Caenorhabditis elegans: one gene and its partners. The protein of the gene in region 1 interacts with the protein of each later gene in a pairwise test. Each region holds a gene or a part of one and is shown on either strand. Other genes may lie near its edges.

Region 1 (5,543 bases):
TTTTTTAAAATTCATGTTTTTTTTCCAGATTGGAGCAAGCTGCCGCACTTGGAATGGGAAATGCTCGTTCTCTTGCCTCACTTTTTGACAAGGTTTGTTCTCGTTTTTTTGATAAATTTATGAGAATTTTAAGTTTTTTTTCGTTTTGTTTGAACATCGTTATCAGCTGAAACTAGGCTGATAGCGAAGAAAAGAAATTTTTAAGTCGAACAAAAAAAAAGAAAAAGGAAATTTCCTTGTGACTGTTTAAAAAAACTGAAACAAAAACGATAGTTAAGAGGATTGTTTCAGGTAAATCGAGGAAAACTTCTCAATCAGGCTACACTGAACACGATAAGCAAACCGTTCGTCAACGAGAGTGATTTCATTTTTGATGATACTGTCGCCAAGGGACACGGATTTTTCCATTTGCCCATTCATAGAGCTGGGGTGAGATTTTGAATAATCGAAAGAGGGACGAGGGATGATGGAAATTTTGAACTGAAAAATTTTAAAAAATCCATTTTCACAATAAAAAAACCAAAAAAACCAACAAAAGTCTGAAAAAACTCTTAAAGAACGAAAAAGTCAAAATTCATCCAATAAAGCAGATTTTTTAATTTTTGCCAAAAAAAACTTTTAAAAAATCCATTTTTGCGAAAAAAAAAACCACTGTCCTTTTTCCCATAAAAAATTCAAAAAAATCAATTTTTCTCAAAAAAACCCGAAAAGTACCTTTTTGCTAAATAAACATAAATTAACAAAAATTAACAAAAATTAACAAAAATAACAAAAATTAACAAAATTAAAAATAAATTAAATAAATAAACATAAAACATAAACAGCCAAAAATTAATTTTTGCATTAAAAAAGACTGAAAAATCCATTTTTGTAATAAAATTACAACTGCCGAAAAAAGCAAAAAAAAAAAAATTTTGAAACCCCCAAAAAATTAGCAAAGGACCAAAAAAAAAGAGCCCAGGTGGTGAACAGAAAACGAAAAAACAGGAGAAATTGTTGAAAAACCATTAATTTCGAATTCATTCAAAAAATGAAAATGCATAGAAAAAATATTTAAAACCCTAAATTTAGCTAAAGAACCTGCAAAATGTTAGGAGCGTTTTTTTATTTAATTTTCAGTGAATTTTTTTAATATTTTTCTTTCATAATTCGCCATATTTTCAGACTCAATTCGGCTTCGGACATACCGGGCACGGATGCCAAATGGTCATCACAGATCTCAAGAATCGAGTGACAATTGCCTACGTCACAAATGGGTTGAAAACGGGACTCTACGACTTGTGCAGGACGTACTGGGGACTTCAGACTTCTGTATATGATGTCATCGAACAAATTAATATTCAATCATAATTTATTTTATTTCATTTTTTAATTAGTGATTCCATATAGTTTTAAGATATATCCCAAATCATCCCGCGTGTTCTTTGTACAGTCCGTTTTTAATTCATTCATTCCAAGTGTCGTTCTCTCAATGTTGAAGCTTCTTCCCCCGTAATTAACTGACCGAGTGACCCCACAAAATTGCATATTTATCTGCTCTCTCTCGATTTCCTTACTAATAAACCATCAGTTCACCAGTTTTTAACCACATTTGCGGGGAGCTGGCAGGTGGTAACCCGCAAGTTGCCAGGGGCAACGAGGGTGGCTTAAGGCAAGTGGCCGCGCGGAAAAGAGCTTTCCAGGGGGAGAGGAAAGCAGGATGTCCATATTTGGAAGCATTCTAAGTCTGCAGGATGCCATAAATCGATTTCCGCAGTTTGAATATCAGGTGGGGAATATTAATTGTTAACACGAATTTGAAAAGGAATTCGATTTTTTTCAATTTTTGGATTTTTTTGTAATTTATTTAAAAATTATTATTGTGAATTTTTTAATTTTTCCATTACACATTATTAAATAACTAAAAATTGAATTCGTGGTTTATTGTTCATTTCCAACTAAAAAAATCCCTTCAATACCCAAAAAGTTGCAGTGGGGCGCATTTTCAACGTTTTAATTAAATTTCAAACGTATAATTAAAACTGAGTCTCGTCACAACAGATTTTTGTTAAATGCGGAAAGGTGTGCGTCTTTAAAGAGTACTGTAATTCAAAATTCCAGAATTTTTTTTAAATTTAATGTACATATTTTCATCTAAAAACTATTAAAAAACTAAAAAATTCCTCTGCAACGAAAGTTTGGAATTACAGTACTCTTTAAAGGCACACAACTTTTCGCATTCGACAAAAATTGTCGTGTCTAGACCGTAAACCGTATTTTCAAGGAAAAATAGCAAAAGCCTTTTTTTCAGATAAATCGCCTCGAAAAAGAGCAAAAAGACACCGAAGCCGCGTCGAGAGCAAGTTTTCGCAAACATTTTGTCAGACAGTGCCAGGAATTGCATAGACAGGTAAAAATTGCATTTTCTCTATCTGCCTTATGCCTGGCTGCCTACGGGCCTACCTACCGCCCATTATGGGATCTCCGGTTTGATTCATAGATTTTAGGTCGACCAACTTTCTATTTAATTTCAATTAATTGTTTACAAACATTGAAAAATTGTTAGGCATATGTGTAGACCGTAGGCACTCTGGTAGGTAGGCATTCTCGTGCCTACGTAGAAGTATCATTCAAGGATATCAACATATGCATACAGTTTGCAGCTCGACGATCACCGAAATCGAATTGAAAAGGCCAAAACTGACGAGACCTACAAGAAAGAAAACGCTCTAGAGCAACTTGACAAGTTGAAGCAAAGATTGACAGCTTTGAGCCCGGAAAAGGAGCAATTATCGTTTTCTGTCAGGTAAAATTATAATTAAATTCAATTTCTCTAATAAATAGTTAAATATTCAATTCCAGTGTGGACTCTCAATCAGAAGAAGAAAAACCGAAAATGGCTGCAATTGGCCGCCGAAAAAGCACAATGTATAACGATGATGAATCAGAAGATTCTGATAATGATTCAGAAATTATTGAGACGGATGTTCAGCTGGATGATCCTCTTCCGAGTCAGCCACAGCCTCCACAGCAACAGCACCAGCAACCTCAACCAAAACCCAGACAACCTATCACAATTACAAAACCTCTTGAATCAAAGACTTTGAATGAACGTCAAGAACTTGATGAAGTCATCTCAAGGCTTCAGAATCCGAGTCGTGGAGATTCTGGAGAAGTTATGGAACCAGTTGTAGTCCGTGGCAATGTTTTTGTTGCAATTGACAGTTGGGATGCAGAAGCTGAAGGGGATTTGGAGTTAATCAAAGGAAAGAAGTATCGAATCACACAGACAAGATCCGATGGTTGGTGGACTGCACTGGATGAATATGGTCAGAGGGGTCTTGTGCCAAAGACTTATTTACAACATGTTAAGGAAAAGCCGAAGAATGTGGTTTGTTACTTTTCTCTAGTATCGTTAGTTTAATAAGTAGAAATTTTCAGCCATCAAAAGTGTCTAGTCGCCTCGGAGTTCGAGATTCGGTGATCGGAATATCTACGACTACTGATCCATCAAGACGAGAAGCAAACCGGCAGGCATCTCGAGTTGATGACTGTCTTGGTAAAGCATATGACAATGACACTCACTTGTCACTAGTGTGCCATATGGCTCCGAGACTATCAACTTCAAATATTGGATTTCATGATCTTTTTTGGAGTCATTACAAGGATCAGGTAAAAGTTTAAAACTTGCAGTTTCTACCCAAAAAATGCTACAGTTTTGCCAAAAAACCTCTGAGTCTTCCTAAAAACGGCTGAGAAAATTGCTTTAAAAATTTTTACTATGAATCATTTGCTACTCATAGCAACACATTTTTTGCTCACTTTCATAAATCAACTATATTTTTTGCAGGTTTACAAGCGAACTGTCCATATATCAAAAATTATCCGTCTAGTTCGATTTGAAAAGATGCCCCTAATCGAACACAAGGCACTTGTCAGAATGGCTCTTGTCGACATCACAAATCCAAAATCCACTCAAATTGTGAGCAACGTGCACACTCTTGTGCCACGTGTCAAATCTTCAACGTGGTACTTTGAGAAAAAAGAGAGCCAGACGAGAAGCTGCATCGAGTTTTCTGATTTTGTTCTCCGCTCAAACTATCGATCTCCGACAGTGGTACTTGTTGTGGAAGCATCTCATTTGGTGAAGACACAAATAGGAATTGAGGAAAAGAGTTTGGGACATACATATCTGCGACTGATAATTGATGATAAAGCAGTGCCAAGTAGAACGAATGTTTTGTATTTGGATGATGAAGTGATGACAAAAATGAAGTTGCCGGAAGCTTCGAAAAGAAGAGTTCTGGTTCAAGTGATGGATGTTCCCAAGGATAAGGTTTCATATGTGGAGTGAGTTTTGGAAACTAAGAAAGCTGAAAATCTGGATCCCTGACCTGACTTTAAGTTCAACCCAAATTATTTTTCCAGCTCCCTCCCCGATGTCATAGTATTCAATGCTCTTTATTTACCATTCTTCCACTTTTACCGCCGACGAGCTGGAACCATTTTAATTCGGGACAATCGGAATCCATTGAGTGCTGGTAGGATTTCATACCCACCCAAACAATATTTTGAACTAATTTCAGAATTTATATCTGACCCACTTCTCTCTGTATTCCCATTTGTTTGTGACCAGCATGACATTATGGATATAATGCTGAAAATTTGGAAAACCAAAAAGAAAGTGCTCGCCAAGAAAAACGAAGCTGAACAAACTGCCGAGTTCTTCCAAACTTTTCTACACACCGCGTTTTTTATTCATGGGATTCGAATGATTTCGTATGATGTCAAAGATGATCTTACTCTTTCGATTAGGCAACAGGTAGAGCTGCTGCTCTTGGAGCTCGTTTCAAAATCAGGCTTCGATTATTGTAACATTTCAGACTATGCAACGATTTGTGGATGCATTGAATAAGGGACTTTTCAAGCAGTTCATCGCAGATCAACAATGCAAACCAATCAATATTATCGATTATTCATTGGATCTTTTAGGCAATCATTCTATTGACTAATTTATGGAGATAAAATTAAGCTCAATAAAAAATTTAACTGTGTAATAAGTTCTACTCATCTAGCATCTAAGCATAGAAATGTTTCAGTCATTGTTTCAGTAAATTTCAAGTTTTGAAATTTTTGGTTTTGAAATTTTTGGTTTTTTTGTTTAATATTTGAATAATTTAGAGTCGACTCCCAAACATAGGAGTGGTAAAACTGAGCAATGGCCATTTTTCAGTTGTAAATTTTCACACTGTACCCTCTCAAAAAATGGATTTGAAATGAAATATGTTTATTCGCAATAATGAATAAAATTGGGCGATTTTTCAGAATCACAGCCTCATCGAATTTATTCCATTAAGGGGTTTTATTACATCATGAAATTCTGCGAGCTGACGATCAGGATGTGGTTCTGAGAAATCTAAGAGTTCCTAAACTGGCTTGCCGCTGATTACAGTAGCGGCAGCGGAAGAAGCTTCAGGTGCGGCGGTAGAGGCCTCGGAAGAAGCAGCGGTTGATACCACAGAAGCTCCACTTGCAGTAGTATCTCCACCAGCTGTGGATGCAAC
Region 2 (7,836 bases), on another chromosome or scaffold:
TTGTGATTACACTTTGGGGGGTATCATATTAACTTAACGTCGTAATAATTTTTGTTTTTATGTTAAGATTTACAAAGTAAGCTGACATGCCTTATGCCTAAATATCTACGTTTTTTTTAAATAACGAAGCAGACATGCTTTTTTCTATATCTCTAAAAATTACTTTTGCGCCAAATTAAAAATGTAATTATGCACGGTTGAACTTATCTAAAAACTGTATTTCCTCTATTAGACTTGCACCCTTACGAGTCAATCAAAAATTAGTCTTGCATGCAAAAGTAATAGAGGCAATACGGTTGTTTAATGTTGTACAATTATCTTAAATAACTACCTAATTCAAATTATTTCATTTAAAGTTTTGATAAGTTAGGGGGTTTCAAGTAACTTCAATCACTTCTGCAGAGGAAAATGTTTGAAAACAATAATTTAAAACAAGTTCAAAATTTGAAAATATCAGTGTTTATTTCCTGCTTTTTAATGATGGGTGAAAAGTGGCTCAGGTTTTTTGACGGAAAATTTCACATCAACTTTTGAAATTTCTACATTACATTTGATCATTTTAGTTTGATATTAGCCGCTATTCTTGGTGGCCGAACTTTTTCGCAATTTCTAGGCCACGCTGAGTCGCTATCAAACTTTCTGTTTTCAGGTCACACTATCTCTGTTTGTTATCATTTATTGTTTTTTCTTTACCTACTTTCTTGATAAGATATATGTATCATTCTTTTTTGCGTTTCTTCTGCGAGGTCAAATATGTTCTGTTTTCCTAATAAATTAGTTTTCAAACCAAAAACCATCCTATGTAGTTGCACTTAATTAAAAATTATCTGGTCTTAAATCTGAATGGTCTCAACAATAAATCATGTGGCAGCTGTTAGCACCTGTCACTTGACACTCCTTTGTCCAGTAGACTGCTCACTTCCCAGCATTCCAGTACGTACATTATTGCGTTCTGTTTCTTGGTCAGATTTATTTTCAGTCGATAATATAATCCGTATTGTCCTTTTTCTGCTGTTTTCAAATAATTTTTTGGATTTTTTAACTTATTCCAATACTTACTTTTTAACATCTTATTAAAATGAAATTTTAGAAACCAAATTTACCAAATTTTTCCTGTAATTTTGAAAATCTAACCGAAAAATTCCAAAAAGTTTTATTGATGTTTTTTTAGATTATTGAAAGTTTTGTTTTTTGCAATTTGGCAATCTTTTGATTTCCATAAATCAAAAAAATACAATTTTTTAAAAATTTAAATAAAATATTTTTTGTAGGCAAAAATATTCAGAAATGTATATTTTCAATACTTTTTCTCGTTTTTTTGTGTTATTTTTTGTAAAACTTCCTTATATTTATCGCAAACCAAGAGCATTTATAGGATGAGTTGGATTTTCCAAAATAAAACTTGAAGTTTTAAAATTTTGAAAAAAATTGAAAGAAAACGATTTAAAAAATTTTTCAATGAAAGTTACAATTAACTCTCAAAGTAATTTTGCAATTTGAAGATAAAATTAAAAATCTCAATTTTGTTAAATTTGAAATCAGGTGAAAATTTGGAGTCAAAAATTAAAAATTAGTTACAGAATTTATTAGCATTTTAAAACATTCTAAATTTTTCCAATTTAACTGTATATATTGAAATTGTAGTAGACTTTGTGGAATTTTTGTCAAATTTTGTTAAATAGTTTTCAAAATAATTTGCCCAAAAGGCGGAAAAATTGAAACAAAAAGTGAACCTGTGTACCTAAAAATATCATTTGATTTTTTTCTGCTTCTGATAATATGCTTAATCTATTTTTTTACTTCTAATAATCACGCAAGATTTCCAGAAATGAAACTTCTCCTTCTTCTCTGCATATCCTGTATACCCCTAGCCTATTCTCATGATGGTGAGCCATTTGACTACCTAATGTTCACCACAATCTACCCAACCGCCGTCTGCCGTGCCGATGATGATTCAGTCCCTGAATCCTGTGAGATTCCAAGTGGTACCCCTCAATGGTCAATTCACGGATTGTGGCCAAACTTTGAGAATGGCTCGTACCCACAAAATTGTCGTGGGACTCCAAGACATTTCGATGAGAATTTGATAAAATCAATTGAAGATCGATTGGTGTAAGTTACAAAAATTTGGAATAAACTTTGAATATCACAACATTTTAAATTTTCAGAGTTGTCTGGCCAAACCTCTACCCTAAAAAGACGATTCAATCCTTCTGGAAACACGAGTATGATAAGCACGGGACATGTGCTCAAAGTGAGAAGCTCTTCGAGTCAGAGTTGGCTTACTTCACAGAGTAAGTTGTTTCTAATTAAACGATGATTTTGAGTTTTACTTGTAGATACATCTACTGAATTTAAACTCTTTCAAAACTTTGAAAACCAAAAAAGAAGACCTAGTTTTGGCATTTTTGCGCTCTCCAGCTATATTAATTGGGATTTCTTTCTTTTTTTTATTTTATAATTTGAAACATGATTTTTTTGAGGCAGTTCCCATAAAATTATTTCTGCTTATCAAGTTTTCTTTACTGTTAAAGAATTGTGTGAAAAATTGGCTATTTTTTAAGTAGTAAAAACTAGGCTACTCATTCGCGCGGAAATTCAAAAAAAATTCAGCTCTTTTTATGTTTTGTTTTTTTTCTTGCAAAATTAAACAAAATCATAACAAATAACATAACAAATAACAATATTCGGTAAATATATAAAGCATATAAAGAAAAAAACTGTATTCATTCGAATATTAAAAAAATAATGATTTTATGTTAATTTCAATAAGTTTGATGAAATAATTATTTGTGAAGTTGATGAGATGGTTCAATTGTCTATACAGTTGAAACCGCAACTGCTGAACTGGGCACTGCTGTGTTATTCTTCATCCGGCAACATATAACTTCTGTAATAAAAACAATTATATTAGATCAATCATTATGCCATAACTTTTCAAAAAAATTTTGTATTCCGAAACAATCATCATAAAAGCGATACTATCAAATGATGGGTAGAATCCAACAAGTGAGTACAAGTTACCAGTTTGCCAATTGACTTCAAGTTCGAAAATTGGTGCAATCAATGGGGTCATCAATATCGGCCCAGTTGGTATTATTAAGAAAATAGTTGGTCCAATAGTTTGCATAACGAGAGCAAGGAAAAATTGATATTCAAGTTTTTGATTTTGAGTTGAGAATTTCTTCAGCTCTTTTTTCATATTTCGATGCATTTGAACACATGTAAATATAATAATGCAATATGAAAAACTGATGAGAACAATTGCGAAGAGTAAGAAAATTATACCCTTCGCTCGAATTGAGCCATCAGCTGCATATGGTACCATTGCATATCGTGGCAGTTCGGATACTTCCAGTGCGTAGTTTTCAAAAATGGCTTTTCTGTAATGAATAATTTGAGATAAAATTAAAATGAGAAACTTTGGTTTAAAATTACATTTATGTAAAGAGATATAGCGACCGACATTTTGCGAGTCGAACAATTTCTAAAAATGATTATTGAATTTTGGTAAACCCTTTTTTTTCAGTTAAATGATAAACGAAATGTAATTACAGCAACAAAAAAAAACTCAAAAATGATACCACGTTTTTAAACAATTGGGCAAAGCAGTGTTTGAAAAGTGCTAGTTCAAACCTTTACTGTTAGCTCTAGTTTACTGTATTTTTGAAAAAGAAAACGTTTCTAGAAAAATGCTTTAAAGTGGACTCACAAAATGTCGGCCGCTATATCTCTTGACCTTCATGTTAAGAAATATCTTAACATACCGTATTTTGTCTTGCATGCAAGACTAATTTTTGATTGACCCGTAGGGGTGCAAGACTAATAGAGACTGCAAGACTAATTTTCGAAGATCCAATAGCTTTATGAAATTGGCCATTTATCGTCAAAATTTGACTCGAAATAGTCTAAATCATGCAAAATACATACTTTTCTATTGTTTTATCAATTATTTTAACACTTTAAAATTTAATTTAGCTATAAAATGGCGATATTGTTGAAGTTTTCAAAAAATACTGCTGGTCTGGCAAGAATAGGGATGGAAGACTATCACCGTAAGTTCTCTATTAGTCTTGCATGCAATACTAATAGAGGCTGCAAGACTAATAAAGGAAATACGGTAGTTTATTCAGTAGACAACATTTCGAGCAAAAATTTTTTAGTTGAAGTTTTCTTTATGAAGTTCCTAGTTTTTGAGCTATACTCAATTACAATATACATTTTCAACCAGCAAAAAAACCGAAAACATATATATACTTTCGCTTACCCGTGTAAAACAAATGACGAATATTAAATTAACATCTAGATTTGCCAGTAGCTCCTTAATTTGCTCACCTTATATAAGAATCTGTGAACTCATCAGAACCACACAAATAGTGTAGGGACAATGCGAAAATTGTTCCTACTACCAAGGGATATAAAATCCAGATGATAGTTTTAAGACCGTCAAAATATTTGGTTTTCTGTTCATTGAATACGCACAGATATCTGTACACAAACTGCACAGATATGAATGAAATTACAATTAGGTAGAATTGGGACCAAATTAATATGAAAATCTGCCGAATTTTGAGTGGAATATTTAGTTCGCATAAGTTGAAGGACAACAGCGCACCGTTATAGTTATGAGTAAACGGTTTCATGATCATTTCTAGTCCCGAGAAACTTGTGCTCAAAACTGAGATATATATGATCATTTTCTTATAAGCTCCAAAAAGCTTTTTCGCGTGAAAGACAGTAATCCAGATTAATACAAAGTTAGTACTGAAACTGGCATAAAACCCAACTTTTCTGCAAATTTCAGAAAAATCGTACAATCTCATTCTTACTTTTTCGAAGACTTAACGAGAGAATTAGAGTGTTCGGCCCGGGAAATATTTTTTGTATGTAATGAAGAAATGAAGTCTACGATTTATATTGTATGAAGCACCGGAAATTAAATATATTATACAAACACCAACCACAGTCTGTATCACTGAATTCTTTTTTTAAAAAAAATTTCACAATATTATTCACAAGTGGCGAATGATAAAAACACATGATGGTTTTCAAAGAATGTACCAATAAATCTTAATACAATTTCTGTCTGATTGGGAAACTATTTGTCGGTGAATTTTACTATCGAGCTTTGTAAACAGAACATGCACACAAATTCAAAATTCCAAAAAATAGTTCATTCATTTGCGCGGGAATGCAAAAATAATCATCTCCTTAAAAAAAATTTCGTAGAGTTGAAAAATCATTGAAAAATTAGAATTAAAAAAAATATATAAATCAGTCTTGGTAAGCATGAAATTTCTATAGTGAACTAATCAATAACAAGAAATACATAATTTTTTCAGGGTAATGAAAGTCTTCGACTCTATCGATGTGGCTGGAGGATTGAAATCAGTTGGACCATCGGAAAAACCAATCACCTCGAGCGACTTGAAAAACGCGTTGAGCGGAGTCACCAGCGGAAAAACTTTCCAATTCCATTGCCTCCGGGATAAGAAGGTACGCTTTTAAGCCTCAAAATTGTCATGCTAAAAAATTAAATTTCAGACCAAACAGTTCCTTCTCGGTGACATTCGCTTGTGTCTCAACAAGGACTTGACAATCCGAGACTGTCCGACTGATGGAAAACATCCGAATCGAGTCAGCAGATTCGAGAGATCAATTGGCAGAAATAGACGCGGGCCACCACTTCCAAGCTTCCAGGTTGGTTACGATTTAAAATTTTGTTTGACCTTTTCCAAAATTCCGAATCCTTCATTTTTTGTTGGAATTTTGCAATTTAATAAATTGCCGATTCAAGATTTTTCGGCAATTGACAGTTTTCAAAACTCTCAGACCAAATTTTTCTCGAGATACTTTCGGATTTTTTATTCGAATTTTTCCACTGTCAAAACAAAAAATTCGGAACTTTTACATGGTGCCTAGAAATATTTATTGAACACAAGTATGCAGCGGAGTTCCCAAATCCGAATCATCATAGTATGGGGTAGATGTCTCATTGTAGAGAGTTGTGACAGATTGAGATTGGGTAGTATTCGAGTAGGCCGGATCATATGACATTTTGGAGAAGTTGTCCTCGGTACCAAGCTTCAACGACGACTTTTTCATGTCGGACCACTGGGGGACCTGCAAAATTGCATGTTGAACTAGGCAGTTGTCGGCTGCTGGAATTATGCATTCGCATACTTTGAAACGTTCCTTCTGTGGTAGGCTGGCCGGCCTGAAACCCACCTGCTTCTCGCCTTTTTTCTGCATTTTATGAAAATCTTTAGCAGAAGGCGAGGCAGGCAGGCATCTCGTCGCCTGCGTCCCTAGTAAAAAATAGAATTGAACTCACCGGTGTCAATTTCCCAACTCTCGGAGCAGTCAAATCGTTGAATTCGCTTCCGTGTGGAGACCAATCCGAGCCGGAAGTGATCGGCCAAGAGAACGAACTGATTATATTGAGCTGGGGACGGGACACCGGATCAGTTTTAGCCTTCGAAGATGGATCCTGCGGAGATGCGATTGCATAGATTTCCTGAAATTGTCAATTAGAGCGCTGTTGCATAGTCGGAACTTACCGGGTTGTTAGCAATGAAATTGAGAGTTTCACGTGCTTTGGCACGCTGCCCCGGAGTCACTTTATTGGGGAAAGTGGTCTCGAGAAGCTTTCGTTTTTCCTCGAATGTCATTTCTTTTGTCGGAACTTTGACCTCCTTCTCTTTTCTGAAAGAAAGTTTTTAACATTTTTGAACTTTCCAGCAATCTGTGCTAAGTGGGTTTACGGTAGTCATTGCATAGGAAGTGCGATTTTTAAATGGAATTCTGGATGTTTCAGAAAATTCCAGAAAATTCACGGGGTTCTGGCCTTCTTCACTGAATTTTTCGCGCTCCATTGACAAGGCCGGACAGCGCGTGGGAAAGTCGTGTACTCCACCCGGACAAATACACTTAGTTTGCAACTGAAATCGAGTCGCGACGCGACACGCAACGCGTCGTAAATCTACCCTAGATATGGCCGAGCCAAAATGGCCTAGTTTGGCAAACTCTTAAATTTCAATTTATGAGGGAAGCCAGAAATCCGTGAATATTTCAGAATTTTAAATGAAGTTTCCAGAAAGTTCCAGAATTTTCTCAAGTTTCCCACGTTTCTAGAACTTATTCCAAATTGCTATTTACGCGGGCTTCTGGCTTTCCTCAAATTTTTAAATGTAAGAGTTCGCCGAATTAGACCATTATCGCTCTGCCACATCTGGGGTCGATTTACAATGCGTTGCGTGCCGCGTTGCGTGTCGCGTGTCGCCTTGCGTTTCGTGGCTCGGTTTTCATTGTAAATCTATAGGTATTTGTCCGTGTGGCGTACACGACTTTCCCACACTTTGTCCGGCAGGCAATTTTTTGTCAATAGAGCGCGAAAAATGCATTGAGGAAGGCCAGAAGCTCGTGGTTTCTCGAAAAAGGTTAACCAAAAAGCTTCAAGAATGGAATTATAGGAATTCTCTAGAAACTTGTATTTCCCTTTTTCAGTCATGCAAATGCACAGAGCCAGACAACCGTAACCGTCAGAACTCCAAAAATGGAAACTCACGGCTTTGGTTTTCCAACCGTTGCTCCGTAGACTCCAAAAATCTCGCCAAACATTTTCGAGTGCTTCTGCATTTCCTTCAAACGTTGCACTTCTTCAGATGATTTTCCCGCTGAAAAAAATTAAATTTAAAATAAAATCCAAAAATTTCAAAGTTTCTTACCGGAAAGTTTGCGAAGCTCATCGATAGTATTTTGAATCGACTTCATTTTTCTTTCGTTGAGAAGAGTAGTTTTGCAAATTTGAAATAAATTTTTTTCCGATAATTTTGT
Region 3 (7,357 bases), on another chromosome or scaffold:
GTCTGCTTGACTGGAATCAAATGCTTCCAGTAGAAAATCGAAAAATACGCTGAAAATACTATATTCAAAGCAAAAATTTTAAAATTTCAGCTCTTACTGGTCTTCATTCACATATTCTCCGGTTGGTGATGATAATGTAATCGGTTCTAAGCAATATTTCTCATTATGACGTATCCAATGGGTCGTCAAAGTATTCTGAGTGTCAAATAGGAAAGATGATAAAAATGTATATATTGTTTCATGGTGACGAACTATCTGAAAAATAAATAAATTAGAAAAATGTAATTTTAAATGTTAAAACTCACCAATAAAAATTCAGAGAAAAAAAATAACGCAGAAATCGGAGTGAGTAGAAGTGAATGATTATCTCTTCTTGGTGATATACTTGAAAGTAATAGAGGGCTTAAGTATCGTGTTGTTACTGAAAATTTAACATTAAAAACTTGATTTTCCAGCAGTAAAACTGACCTAAAATTGATAAACTTTCGGCGACAGCTTCCACATCCAATAGTTCACCAATATAATGAATCAAATCAATTAAATCATCCACTTTTCCTCGTAATCTCTCTCGATTAGCTAACACATTCTCAGCAGATCGTACAAATGTGTCCATTTCAAGTGAGAGACCAACTAGAGAATCTATTAACTCCGATAGATATTCCTGTAATATTTATTGCTTAAATACACCTTTTCAAAATAATTTTCTACTAACTTTTGTATGCTTGATAGCGAAAATAATCATTGAATCATCTTGAACTCTCACAATATTTAAAAGAATATTTCTAACAGCAATTCGAACCATTGATTCATTCCAATTATAAAGCTTCAAAACTTCTACCAACAATGGAAATTCTTCAGTCGTTTCATTGAAGAAGAAGTGGATTGTAGCTGGATTCAGTTTAAATGAAAGAGTTTTCAGAAAACTAATGTAGTAAGCCATGATCTCATCATTTTGTAAATCGAATTTGTGGGAAATAATCGAGTTTACATGATTGTTACTTAGAAGGAAATCTGAAAACTGGCAATTTTAAGCGAAAATCCATATAAAAAACTTACAAAGTGAAGTTTCATGTCGAATATTTTCGAATAAAATGTTCAAAGTCTGCAGTAATTGTACATTTAGTGGTGTGTTTCCTTGTTCCATAATTTTCAAGAAATAAAGAAGCATTTGCCGCTCAAGGAAGAAACTGAAATTCAACATCAGATTTGAAAAAAAACATTGGAAAAAAACTCACTCAAAAACCGAAGCATCATTCTGATCGCCCCAAATGAGAATTTCTGCGATAGCTCGTAATGCTTCTACTAATATTTTCTTATTGTTTTCCGTAACTTTCTCATTTTTTGTGAGCACTCCTTGTAAATATTTGAGGTATTCCAAAGAATGCGGATTTTTCGGCTTCCATAGTGACCCAGAAGAACCAAGCTTGCGGAACATTATCGATTTTGTTCCAGGTTTATTGGTGCATTCTGAATATTTAAATATTTATTCAAAGTTTAAAAAGAAAGATTTAGCTTGAAAATTAAATTAAAAGAGAAGATAAAAACTGCGCACAAGGGTGCGCCGAAAAAAAGTTTTACTTCTCAAACGATGCTCCGAAATAACGTTTTCGCGTGTTGTTTATTACTTCAAATTTCAGTTGTTTATTTTTCAGAAAATTGTTTTAATTTGTTTTATCTCAACTTTTTGACTCAATTTTCCATTTTTATTTTTAAGCAGCATGAAACAAACAACTCGTCCTCCTGCTCAATATATAGTTGCACCTGGAACACGATTCCGTCTTGTTGCCAATGAATACGACAAAAATAAGTATGGACAATGTAATTATGCTTCGTATCGAACGCTTGTTCGGTGTAAGCAGGTGAGAAAAAATACGAAAATTTGATAGTAAGCTTTTTTTCAAATTTAAAATTTTAGATACGATCAAAAGAAGAACTTGCGAAACATGGCGGCCGTTGTGAAGAGCACGTCGAATTTTCAAAAACGTTAGAAAATAATCATAAGAAAGAAGTGATGCGGTGCCATGCGGAAAATGATTCAAAGATGCAAAGACGTCGTTTTGATCCGTGGATTGCATCAAATGAGTATATTTCGTAAGTAAAGTTTTTTTTTTGAAATTGAAAATAACAATTTCCAGAGACGATGACGACTACCTCCAAGCTGCTCAAACAGTTCCTCAGCGTCTTCCAGATGTGGCAAATGATGATATATTGGATAATAATTCGTTAAGGTATTCTTATTAATTATTTTTCTTGGGAATTAGAAAAATAAATTCGAAATTTCAGATACGCTGAATACTATACTGACAAAGATATATTGAATATCAAGATGGATTTAGTACAAAAGGATATTGACGATTTAATTGAATTTAAAGAATTGGTCACAAGTCAAGCACAAAAAGAGCATGAATTGTTAGGAAATGATGAAGAAGAAGGTAATTCAATTTAATAGGCATTTTCGATGAAATTTATTGCGTTTTTCAGATTATCCAACAGATATGGCCCAGCGAAGAATTTTCAAAGCATCCACAAAATACTCAAGGAATGACTATCTGACATTGACGGTAATGAATTCTGAAAATGTTTCATTATTCTATTGATATTTTTTTAGACAATTGATCCAGTATTCCATCAATGTTGTGTTGGACCAGATATGGATGATTCTTTAGTTATTGTACACACAATGCACTCTATTTTGGATAAAATTGACAATTTTGAACCAATCGACTCTGAAAAGCAATGTAACAAGCCGGCGCTTCATCTTAGCAAATTTTGCTTTGATCGTAAGTTTTAAAAATATTTTTTCGTGGCTTACAAATTCAAAGTCCAGATATTATACTGGATCGTTCTCAAAAAATGTTCGATGTCTGCAATGCATGTGGTCTTACTGCAATTGGAGGAGTTGATCCGAAATGTTCGTTCCATATAAGTGAGTGCCAAATCATTTTGAAAAAATCTGATTTTAAAAAAATTTCCAGAAAGTTCTGCAATAGCTGAAACTACGTCTTGCCCGTGTAATCGGTGTGTCCAACCTGGTGAACATGCTTCCCCGAAAGATGAGAAAAATTCGGTAAATTGTTTTTTTTTCAATTATAGAAAAACATTTTTTAAGTCGTTATTTTTAGATAACCTGCTATTTGAATTCATCCGACGACGACGAGCCTACACTGGGAAACTTGTCAAGAATCGAATCGGTTTGTTTTTCAGACATTTTTGAGTTAAAAGAGAAAAAACCGATCAATTTAGATTTTGATATTCCCAAAATGACCTCAAGCAGCCGATTTTCACTTCTCAAAAATTTCCAAAAAGTTTTGTAGCGAGGTTTTTTTTTCAAAATTTTGAACAAATTCAAATTTTCTGAAATATAAAATTTCACGAGGTTGTCCGTGTCGCAGCAGTTATCAATTTTGGAGAAGGGTTTTTTTGAGCGATTGTGATCATTTTTGCCAAATTTCGGTCTAACTTGTCTAGTTTCAATGATTTTAGGAAACCTATCACCTTTAAGTGTACCTAAATCAACGTATGAACAAGAAATAAACTACCACAAAATGTAACAATAGGTGAAAAGCTTTATTCTATTTGCTGGACCAAAAAAAGTTGGGTTTTTTCTGTTTTCTGCATTTTTTTGCGCTTTTTTTCAAAGGTTTGTGAAATTCGGTTTTTGAGGTGATTTTGAACCTATTTGAGCCGTTTAATATTCTAACATTTAAAAAAGTTACAGATGGTTTCCCCAATGCAACAATTTTCAAATCAATCGAATACATTAACTGCTCCATTACCCCGTCGTTATCAAGGTCCACCGGCTCAAGTACTCCGGCCACCACAAATGGGACCACCTCCAGGAATTAATCAAGTACCATATCAACCAAAAGCTAACAGAACTCCTCCGATGACATCACAGCAGCTCCACGAGCAACAGAAATTAAAAATGCAAGAAGAAGAGATGATGTCTCAAACGTGTGCAAGGTGGGTCTTGATTTTACGATGAATGTACTTTTAGAGAGATAATAGTGATTTCAGAGTTCGACCTATTGATGCAAGTCAGTTTGGTGGAGGAAAGAAGAGTTAGTTTACGATTAAAATTGGAAAATTTCAATTATTTATAATTCCAGAACAACGACTACCACCAAGACGTTCTCCATCATTTGGGACATCTCCAAATTCTTATCAATTCCATCAACAATCACAAAAGAAAATGCCATCGATAATATCGACAGCGTACAATTCGTCACCTGGAAAAATGAATTTTCAAGGATGGAAAAATCAATCTACGAGCTCGGCTACACGGCCTCTTCCACAGGTAATATTATTCAAACAAGCTCCACGTACATTTCAATACGCTCCGCCCCCGAGTCATGGGTCTCGTTAGGTATTTGGCGACAAAACCGAAAAAAAGACGAAAAATGTTGTAATATTGAAACGTGATTCGGAAAAATTTTAATATCTGGATAAAAATTGCACTCTTTTAAAAATGGGAATGACTGTTTTTTTTTGAGAGAAAGGAAAATTTAAAAATTTTTAAGGTTTTCAGTATATCAGAATTTACGTTTTTGGCTCACTTTTATTTTCGAAAAAAACGAAGAATAAATTTTCGGCAAAACATTTAAAAAAAAACCAAAAATCTACAGGCCCTAGTCCCAAATAATAATTTTTTCCAATCTAAAAGTGTCAATTTTATAATTTTCTAGCCTCGTTTCCCAGTTCATGCAGCTCGTTCACAGCAACCGAAGATGATTCCATTAGAACAAACTCAAGATTCAATTGAAGATGATATTGGACCATCACCCATGTTTCAAGGACCAGAACCATCGAGACGCGGTGTTCCATATTATAAAAATGCCTATCGAAGAAGTAAAAAAAAAGTCTAGTTAATAAAATATCTAATCTTGAATTTTCAGCTGAACTTCCATCTCGTCATGCCCAACACTCTCCACTCACTCCATCTACTTCTACATCATCATCTCAGCTATTGGCTCCTCCTAAATCACCACAACCCGGTACATCTTCTCAAACTTTTCGATCTCAAGCATCACGTCTTCCAATAGCACCACATCGTGCTATAGCTGCAGGACTTAATCCAGCCGATGTCGGAACTCGCCCAGCTTATAGGTAATTTTTTCGTGAAATCTAACAATAAACTGAAAACTATCACCGTTAGCTGGAAATTTTTCAAGTTTCTACAATTTCAATTGAAGTTTACATGATTTCAGATCTCAAATGGCTGGCCAAAGACCAGGAATGACGCCGTCAGCGCAACAAGGAAGCCCTCAATTAATTTCTCCGCCAAGACAAGGATCTATGATGCCAGTAGCAATGAATCAGAGCCCTCAAGCTGTTCGGCGACAAACTCCAGTTCCACCTTACCGTCTTATGGGACCCCAAAGAGTTACAACAAGTTATACGGTTGTTCGATCAGGAAGTTCATCGTCTGTAGCTGGTCCATCAAGAAGTTCTGTGGCTTCGGGGTTTGTATTTATAAATTATTCGAAATTCACAAAACCTTCAAAGAATCTGATTTCTTCTGATTTCTGAATTATTTTCAGCTCCCAGCATACTGCATTGGACACAGTTCAGCATGATCCACGTTTGGCAAACATCAATGTACGAACATTTTTGTCAATTGGAAATCGGGATCTTTCAACACTAACTCAAGATGAAATAGATCTCTTGATGGCTGGAAATTCACCGGAAAAGGGAGGCAGAAAGGCCGGTGCTCCCGGTGCAAAAGAATCATCAAAAGCTGCGGGAGGCGCTCAAAAAGGAACTTCTGCAGCTTCAACAAGCGTCCCAGAACCGACGAAAAGTTCAGAATCATCAGTGGATCCGCAATCAGATGTATCATTTTCGAATCCTTCACCAGCTCCAGAAGTTATAGAAAAAGTTGCACCAGCTGCGATGACAATAACTTCCAATAAACGGAAAATCGATGAAACTTTGGCATCTGAATCAACATCTTCGGAGGCTACATTAATACACGATACAACTTCTTCTTCTTCTGCAGAGACAGTGTCTGGAGAGCCTCCAGCAAAGAAATCATCAGATGTTTCAGCACCTGTGCCATCTCCAGAAAAGGAAAAGGAGAAAATAGGTTAGTTATTCTACTTTTCCAAAATCTTTGTAATTTAATAAAGATTGATATTTTAATAATATTCTCAATTCTCAGATCGTCCAAAAACTCCAAAATCATCTACAAAACGGACAACACCAACTCCATCCGGAAGAACACCACGGGCGGCCGCAATTGCAGCGAATCAAGCTATTTCTCATTCAAAACCTAATGTTCCCTCTGCGTCTACATCTTCTTCGGCTGCTTCCACCGATCAAGAGGTAAAATTTGTTTTTATATTGTGAAGTATCATAGGAAAAAAATTATTTTTCAGAATCCGCTAGATTTGCTTGCTGAATTGTCGGTAGCTGCAGCTGCTGAAGAGCAACAACAAGCAATAGGGAGTACGTCGAAAAATGGAGGAAGCACAAAGAAAAGTGAGTGAGAAATTATTTTTTAAACTCATTATAACCAAAGATTAATGTTTAATTTCTCTACTTTTTTCCATTTTCAGCGCAAAGAAAGTCACCTTCTCGTTCATCAATAGGAAAGAAACGAGAAAACAGTGAGGAATATGAGGAGGAACTTTGAAATTTTAATTTTGCTTCAACTTTTCATAATTTTTAATATATTGTTTCACGATTTCGCTATCCTCACCATTATTCTCTTAATGATCTGTTGAATTATCTTATTTTCATATAATTTTCACCTTGTTACCTCCGAAATTATGCATTCTTATTAATGATTTTGTCTCGCCTTACAGTTAATCATAAATAGTTTTATTGTATTCTCCATCTCCCTTCTTATCTAGTAATTCCCCTCATGCAAATCCATTCGACATTTCGGCGCAACCTTCTCCCGCACAAAGAGCTCTTGTGTGTTACGTAACAGGAGGTGTCAATATGAACAGAAGACACCTCAAAGAAAATGATGTGCAGAGTATATCCGGTTACCATTTCTACGGATTATGTTGGCGGCAAAATAAGGGATTAATTAAAGGATGAAGTGTACACTTCCCTTTTTTCGTTTGAAGGATCAAGATGATCCTATCAATTACTAAATAAACAAGAGAACGCCTGGTTAAAGGTGCACGCATTTTTCAGACGTGGTCTTGCAGCGAAAGTTAACATTTATGATTACACTAACTAATTTTTTTGAAAACATTTAATTAAAACGAGACAATTCGTATTAACATTTTTTAGATTTTTAATTTTAGTTTGGCATGTACCTTTAAAGTGATACATGTATGTATGCGGAAATAGGTGCAATATAAATAAAAACCATCCGGATGCATTACAATGGAGTACGTGATAC
Region 4 (4,798 bases), on another chromosome or scaffold:
ACACCCCTAAAAAATCGTGAAATAATCTCAAGTATTCGAATTTTCCTTCAATTAAAACCACCCGAAAATGACGGAAAATAGCGATTTTTGAGTTTGACTCAAAATATCTCGGCTCAATGAGCTCCAATCTTTCTGAAAAAAAGAATACAGAGGTAGGGCAAGCTTTTTGAAAAGACAGCAAAAAACCGCATCAAAATCCATCCACCCACCGTCAAGTTACACGCGCGTTTTCAAAGTGAAATCTTTTTGTCGACAAAAAGGGGCGGAGCGAGGGTCATTTTTTTTTGGATTTTGAAGCTTAATATCTCGGCTCCTGTAAATCGAAATTGGCTCAAAATTCACAAGAAAACTTATTTCACTGCCGTCCTCCTGTCATTAAATTTTCGTGAGCTTAGACAGAAAACTGACAAAACGCCAAACTTTCAAATTTAAAAAAATAGTTGAGGGTCATTTTGAAAACACCTTAAGCTTCATAACTCGGCGAGTTTTGATGGAATCAATTTGAAATTTTACACGAAAGCTTCTTAGTGGCCTATACGTCTCTGTGTTAAATTTCGCTTTGATCGGCCAACGGGAACCCTTTGAAAAATGAAAAAAACGCTGTAATCCTAACCCTAAATAGCGTCAGTGCTGCTGTAATCCTAACCCTAAATAGCGTCAGTGCTGCTGTAATCCTAACCCTAAATAGCGTCACTGACGCCAAGCCAAGGCATAAGTTTTAGCCTAGGTCTAAACCTAAGCCTAAGAGTAAGCTTAAGACTAAGCCTAACCCTACGCGAAAGCCTAAGCTTAAGACTAAGCCTAAGCCTAAGCCTAAACCAAAGCCTAGGCCTAAACCTGAGTAAGCCTTTCGCATGGTAAAATAATTTTTTCAAAAAAAATTAAAACTTCCAAAATGTTACCAGAGTATTTACCTAGCCTTGTACATATTTAAAATAATCGAATGTCTGCAAAAAGCTGTATTTCGAGCAATTTTACGGGTGTGAAATTTTTTATGATATATTATCAATAAAACTGACCAATTTTCAAAGATGGAGTAGCGTCAGTGGATTTTTTTTTGTTTTTTTTTTTTAATACACTTATAATGATTTAAGACAACCGAGTATCACATCAAAAAACTCTAAAAAATTTTAGATTTTTCAAAATTTCCGGACAAAGTTTTGGCAAATTGCCAAAATTTCGAAAAAATATGAGCTCTTGAGGAAATCCCAAGCAATGTCGCATGTTTCGACCCCTACAATGTTTTAATACAAATAATTGAATCAAAATCATTTACTATATATAAAGCGCTTATTCCGTTTGTCCATAGTTTGTAGTCTATGTAGTCTTTGTAGTCTGCGAAGTTTTAGCTTCTGGAGGGATAGTGAGTTGGGGGTTAGTGTAGGGATATAGTCGGGGTACTGTAGTGGTACAATAGTGGTACGGTAGGAATACTGTAGGGTTACGGTAGTTTCATAAAAAATTAATTTTCAGCCCCAGAAGTCGGGGGCCGCGCCGAAGGTGCGGTCCACGGCTGGTAAATAAATAAATAAATAAAAATTGGTTTTTTAAAGCAAAAATCTTTGATGTGCGTTTGTAAATTGTTCAATTCTTATAAATTTGTCATAAAATATTGGGTCCCATCACGAAAATTCCCAGGTTTTCGCGGCAGGATCGCTAAGTTTTGAAATTTGATCAAAACATGTCATGATTATACTCAAATGAAAGCTCTCTCTTGAGCCAAACTCAAATTTTTTATTAATTTTTTGTTTCGAACAATTTTAAAGCAAAATTCCAGCTAACAAACCTATCATGATTGAGTGACCTCTCCAGTGCAGCGGCAAGTGATTCCCGAGACTTGGCAGGTGACGTTGGAGCACTGAAATAAGTGAACATATCTGACAAAGTGATTTAAACACATGTTATCTTGGCAGCAGAACAGAATATAGAAAAAAAATGTGCGGGTTTCCATGGAGATACCCAGATTTGCATTTTCTCGGGAAAAATGAAGGAAATTCTCTGAGGAAAATTTCCCACGATTCTCTCATTTTACACTATATTTTATTTTTTTTTTATCTTTGGCAGTCTCAAAAGAGCCGCACACTACAATTTTAATGAATGTTTTCGCTAGCGGGTTTTTTGGTTCTTTCTTTTTTTTTTTTGAAGTGGATGACAAATTTTCTTGAGAATTTGTGTATTTTTTGAAATAAAACTTTTAATTTGAGCTTTTTAAATGATCTGGTGAAATTTTGGAATTTGAAAAGATCAGGTGGTTCAGATAAGTATAAACAAGCCCAGGTTTAGAATTAAGAGATTTGGAGCATTCCTGTGCTCCGCGAGCATTATCTGAACTGATAAGAATCTTTTAGAATCAATTTTTCAAACAAAAAAGTTCGAGCCTGTTCAGAAAAGTATAAACAAGCCTAGGCTTGGAGCTTTAGAGATTTGAAGCATGAGCGGCTCTGTGAGCCCGGGAGCTCCAGAATCAAATTTTTTTAAACCAAGCAATATGGGTGTCAAATTGATGCTATTGGCAGGCTGTACAACAATTCTGAACTGGAATTTGAAAAATCTGGAAAATGAAGCATATTGAGCTCTTTTTTTAAATTTTTGTCAGACAAAATTGACTGGAAACTGGGAAAAATATATTAAAAAAAGGTTTTTGAAAATTTCATTTGAATTTTCAGATTAAAAAGCTCAAGGCGGCCTAGGTTTGGAATTTTAGAGATTTGGAGGATCGGCTGCTCTGTGAGCTCCGGGAGCTCCAAACTCAAAATTTTTAAAAACCAAGCTATGTGGGTGTCAAATTCAAACTTTCAAAGTTTTCTAAACTGGAGTCTTCCCAGCCGGCCGAGCTCACGGAGCACACAAATATTTGAGATTTTTTATTTTATTTTAAAATTTCGTACCTTATCGTATTAGACACCTTATTAGCAATCGACTGAAATGAAAAAGAGCTCGGCGGTCCCGAGTTCACGTCATCCATTGGCTCACCCTCATCCTCGGAAAACGAGAATTTTCGCTTGAAGAAATTCATTTTCTGAAACTGGAAAATTGGATTTTCGTGAGCAAAAAAAGGGGGAAAAAGAGCAAAATGTCAGAGAGAAGCCACAAATTTTCTTAAAATTTCCCCAGAGACCTTTTCAACCCATAATTAGAGTTAAAAATAACTAGAAACAACTCAAAAACCAAAAAAAAAAACCATGAAATGTACATTTTGTGGGTGAAGGAGAAAAGGGGAAAGTGTCTGGAGGGGTTGAAGCTAAGGAAGTGAATAGAGAGAGAGAGAGAGAGCACAGAGAGAAACTTAGAGATAAAGAGAAAAAAGATGGAGGAAAGTGGCGAGGAATAGGGGCATCAATTTGAAAAGCGAGAACGTCAGTCCCCCTAAGGGGCCCCACAAACTTTTTGATGAAATTTTGAGATTGTTTAGAGGCAAGGTTGGTGGCCTAACATTTTTAGTTTAAGCTTTTAGGCTGTGTGATTAGAATTTTTGAATTCCCCTAGATTTTGCGGTTTAGAAAAGAATAAACATGGCTAGACTTTGAATTTTTGAGGAATGGGCTCGCGGAGCACCAAAAAGTGTCGATTTTCTGGAAACGGGCTCTTGCCGGTGCTCCGCGAGCCAAAACCCAGAAATTTCAGAACCTGGACAATATGAATATTATCTGAAAACACTAAACACGCTGATTCTGATACTTGTGTTCATTTTCCTCAAAAATTCAAATTTGTGCTTTTTAGAGCTGAAAGACACTGGGCTCCGCGAGCTCGAGACCGAAAAATTCAGGACTTGGACTATTTGAAATCTCTCATTGCTACAGTTTTTTTTAAAGAAAAATGTGAATACTTATTTGGAGCATTTCGAGCTTAAAAGAAGAAATTTCAAAATTTTTTCAAAGAAGAAGAGACTTTCAAAAAAAAAAAAAGAAACGTCACTTTTTAATTATGGCTTGACACTGGAAGATGTCTAATCAAATTTGAAGAAAAAATAGGAAAAAAAAGGAAGAAAAAAAAAGACTAACTCACGAAAGAAACTATTCGGGCCTTTTCAGTCATGGTTTTCAAATTTTAAAATCAGAAAAGTATATACATTACTAGGTTTAAGATCGCTGAGCACATCTGAGAGCTAGGAACTTTCCTCAAAATTTAAAGCTATTTGGAGAATTTAAAACGAAACATTTCTTAATTTCAAGAGATGTGTGGGTAATCTTGTATTCATTGAAGTGAAACAAGAAAGAAGGCGAGACGAAAAAGCGTATAATCCCGTAAAGTCGAAATGTTATACCCCCTTTTCTGCGTCGAAAAAAGGGGAGAAGCCGCATCCAAAATGCACATGGAGACGGAGAGAAACATGAAACAAAATCAAATGGAGCCGGGCGTAAGGAGAGTGGGTGAAATTTACATTTGGGTGAAAACTGAATTACCCAAAAAATACTAGTAGATGAGAGCGCAGACAATTTTTCGAGCCTCTGGAAAATGTAGAGAAAGCTCGAAAATTTGAACTTTTTAAATTTCAAAAATTTTTTATATTTTTGCGCCGAAAAATGTGAAATTTTATTTGAAAAAATGTCAGAAATTTCTGGGTACAAAAACTTTAGCATAGGATCTACATATTGGTTCATGTTAAAAATGCAAAAGTCTAGAGAAGCTCAGTGAAAATTCGAGAATCAAGTGTCAACGGAGGGACGGGGACACAATGATTGATAGCTGACTTACATGGCTTCTAGTGGTTTTTCTTGTTTTCCTTTTTGCTGGTTTGGGGGAGGGGGGGGGGGGGGGGGGGGAAAGCTCGTGTTGGAGCATGGTGCATCGACGCTAA

Evidence for each region.
Region 2: the proteins of nphp-1 (region 1) and rnst-2 interact in a two-hybrid assay, tested with the Caenorhabditis elegans proteins (one large-scale study listed by BioGRID).
Region 3: the proteins of nphp-1 (region 1) and sumv-1 interact in a two-hybrid assay, tested with the Caenorhabditis elegans proteins (one large-scale study listed by BioGRID).
Region 4: the proteins of nphp-1 (region 1) and snn-1 interact in a two-hybrid assay, tested with the Caenorhabditis elegans proteins (one large-scale study listed by BioGRID).

Annotation. Positions count from the first base shown.
Region 1 is NC_003280.10:10,648,386-10,653,928, reverse strand, and holds nphp-1 (Nephrocystin-1-like protein), read left to right. Parts: upstream 1-1,672; 5' UTR 1,673-1,699; coding exon 1,700-1,768; intron 1,769-2,290; coding exon 2,291-2,389; intron 2,390-2,642; coding exon 2,643-2,785; intron 2,786-2,841; coding exon 2,842-3,370; intron 3,371-3,420; coding exon 3,421-3,651; intron 3,652-3,829; coding exon 3,830-4,329; intron 4,330-4,407; coding exon 4,408-4,520; intron 4,521-4,565; coding exon 4,566-4,801; intron 4,802-4,862; coding exon 4,863-4,991; 3' UTR 4,992-5,036; downstream 5,037-5,543. Other genes in the region: lact-3 (Beta-lactamase-related domain-containing protein), read left to right, coding at 29-92, 292-429, 1,165-1,350; M28.10 (Flo11 domain-containing protein), read right to left, coding at 5,406-5,543. UniProt on the Caenorhabditis elegans protein: Plays a role in the extension of dendrites from phasmid ciliated sensory neurons. May be necessary for initial assembly of the cilium.
Region 2 is NC_003283.11:1,059,769-1,067,604, forward strand, and holds the start of rnst-2 (Ribonuclease T2 protein rnst-2), read left to right. Parts: upstream 1-1,826; 5' UTR 1,827-1,828; coding exon 1,829-2,112; intron 2,113-2,168; coding exon 2,169-2,294; intron 2,295-2,819; coding exon of another isoform or gene 2,820-2,890; intron 2,891-2,934; coding exon of another isoform or gene 2,935-3,383; intron 3,384-4,335; coding exon of another isoform or gene 4,336-4,823; intron 4,824-5,342; coding exon 5,343-5,496; intron 5,497-5,544; coding exon 5,545-5,700; intron 5,701-5,913; exon of another isoform or gene 5,914-5,928; coding exon of another isoform or gene 5,929-6,123; intron 6,124-6,334; coding exon of another isoform or gene 6,335-6,517; intron 6,518-6,560; coding exon of another isoform or gene 6,561-6,705; intron 6,706-7,567; coding exon of another isoform or gene 7,568-7,676; intron 7,677-7,727; coding exon of another isoform or gene 7,728-7,773; exon of another isoform or gene 7,774-7,800; intron 7,801-7,836. Other genes in the region: str-67 (Seven TM Receptor), read right to left, coding at 2,820-2,890, 2,935-3,383, 4,336-4,823; K10C9.7 (Homeobox domain-containing protein), read right to left, coding at 5,929-6,123, 6,335-6,517, 6,561-6,705, 7,568-7,676, 7,728-7,773. UniProt on the Caenorhabditis elegans protein: Probable endoribonuclease involved in the autophagy-mediated degradation of ribosomal RNA and ribosomal proteins in lysosomes.
Region 3 is NC_003281.10:5,248,548-5,255,904, reverse strand, and holds sumv-1 (Protein sumv-1), read left to right. Parts: upstream 1-1,717; 5' UTR 1,718-1,718; coding exon 1,719-1,859; intron 1,860-1,915; coding exon 1,916-2,091; intron 2,092-2,135; coding exon 2,136-2,228; intron 2,229-2,283; coding exon 2,284-2,432; intron 2,433-2,481; coding exon 2,482-2,561; intron 2,562-2,608; coding exon 2,609-2,780; intron 2,781-2,827; coding exon 2,828-2,926; intron 2,927-2,975; coding exon 2,976-3,067; intron 3,068-3,122; coding exon 3,123-3,191; intron 3,192-3,718; coding exon 3,719-3,963; intron 3,964-4,008; coding exon 4,009-4,061; intron 4,062-4,109; coding exon 4,110-4,297; intron 4,298-4,685; coding exon 4,686-4,848; intron 4,849-4,895; coding exon 4,896-5,106; intron 5,107-5,207; coding exon 5,208-5,462; intron 5,463-5,540; coding exon 5,541-6,085; intron 6,086-6,160; coding exon 6,161-6,324; intron 6,325-6,377; coding exon 6,378-6,480; intron 6,481-6,557; coding exon 6,558-6,634; 3' UTR 6,635-6,830; and 1 more. Other genes in the region: gop-1 (Protein CLEC16A homolog), read right to left, coding at 1-49, 98-255, 306-421, 469-661, 713-1,011, 1,057-1,187, 1,236-1,435. UniProt on the Caenorhabditis elegans protein: Nuclear factor that influences the activity of genes involved in vulval development.
Region 4 is NC_003282.8:1,812,081-1,816,878, forward strand, and holds the start of snn-1 (ATP-grasp domain-containing protein), read right to left. Parts: upstream 3,020-4,798; 5' UTR 3,017-3,019; coding exon 2,889-3,016; intron 1,859-2,888; coding exon 1,787-1,858; intron 1-1,786.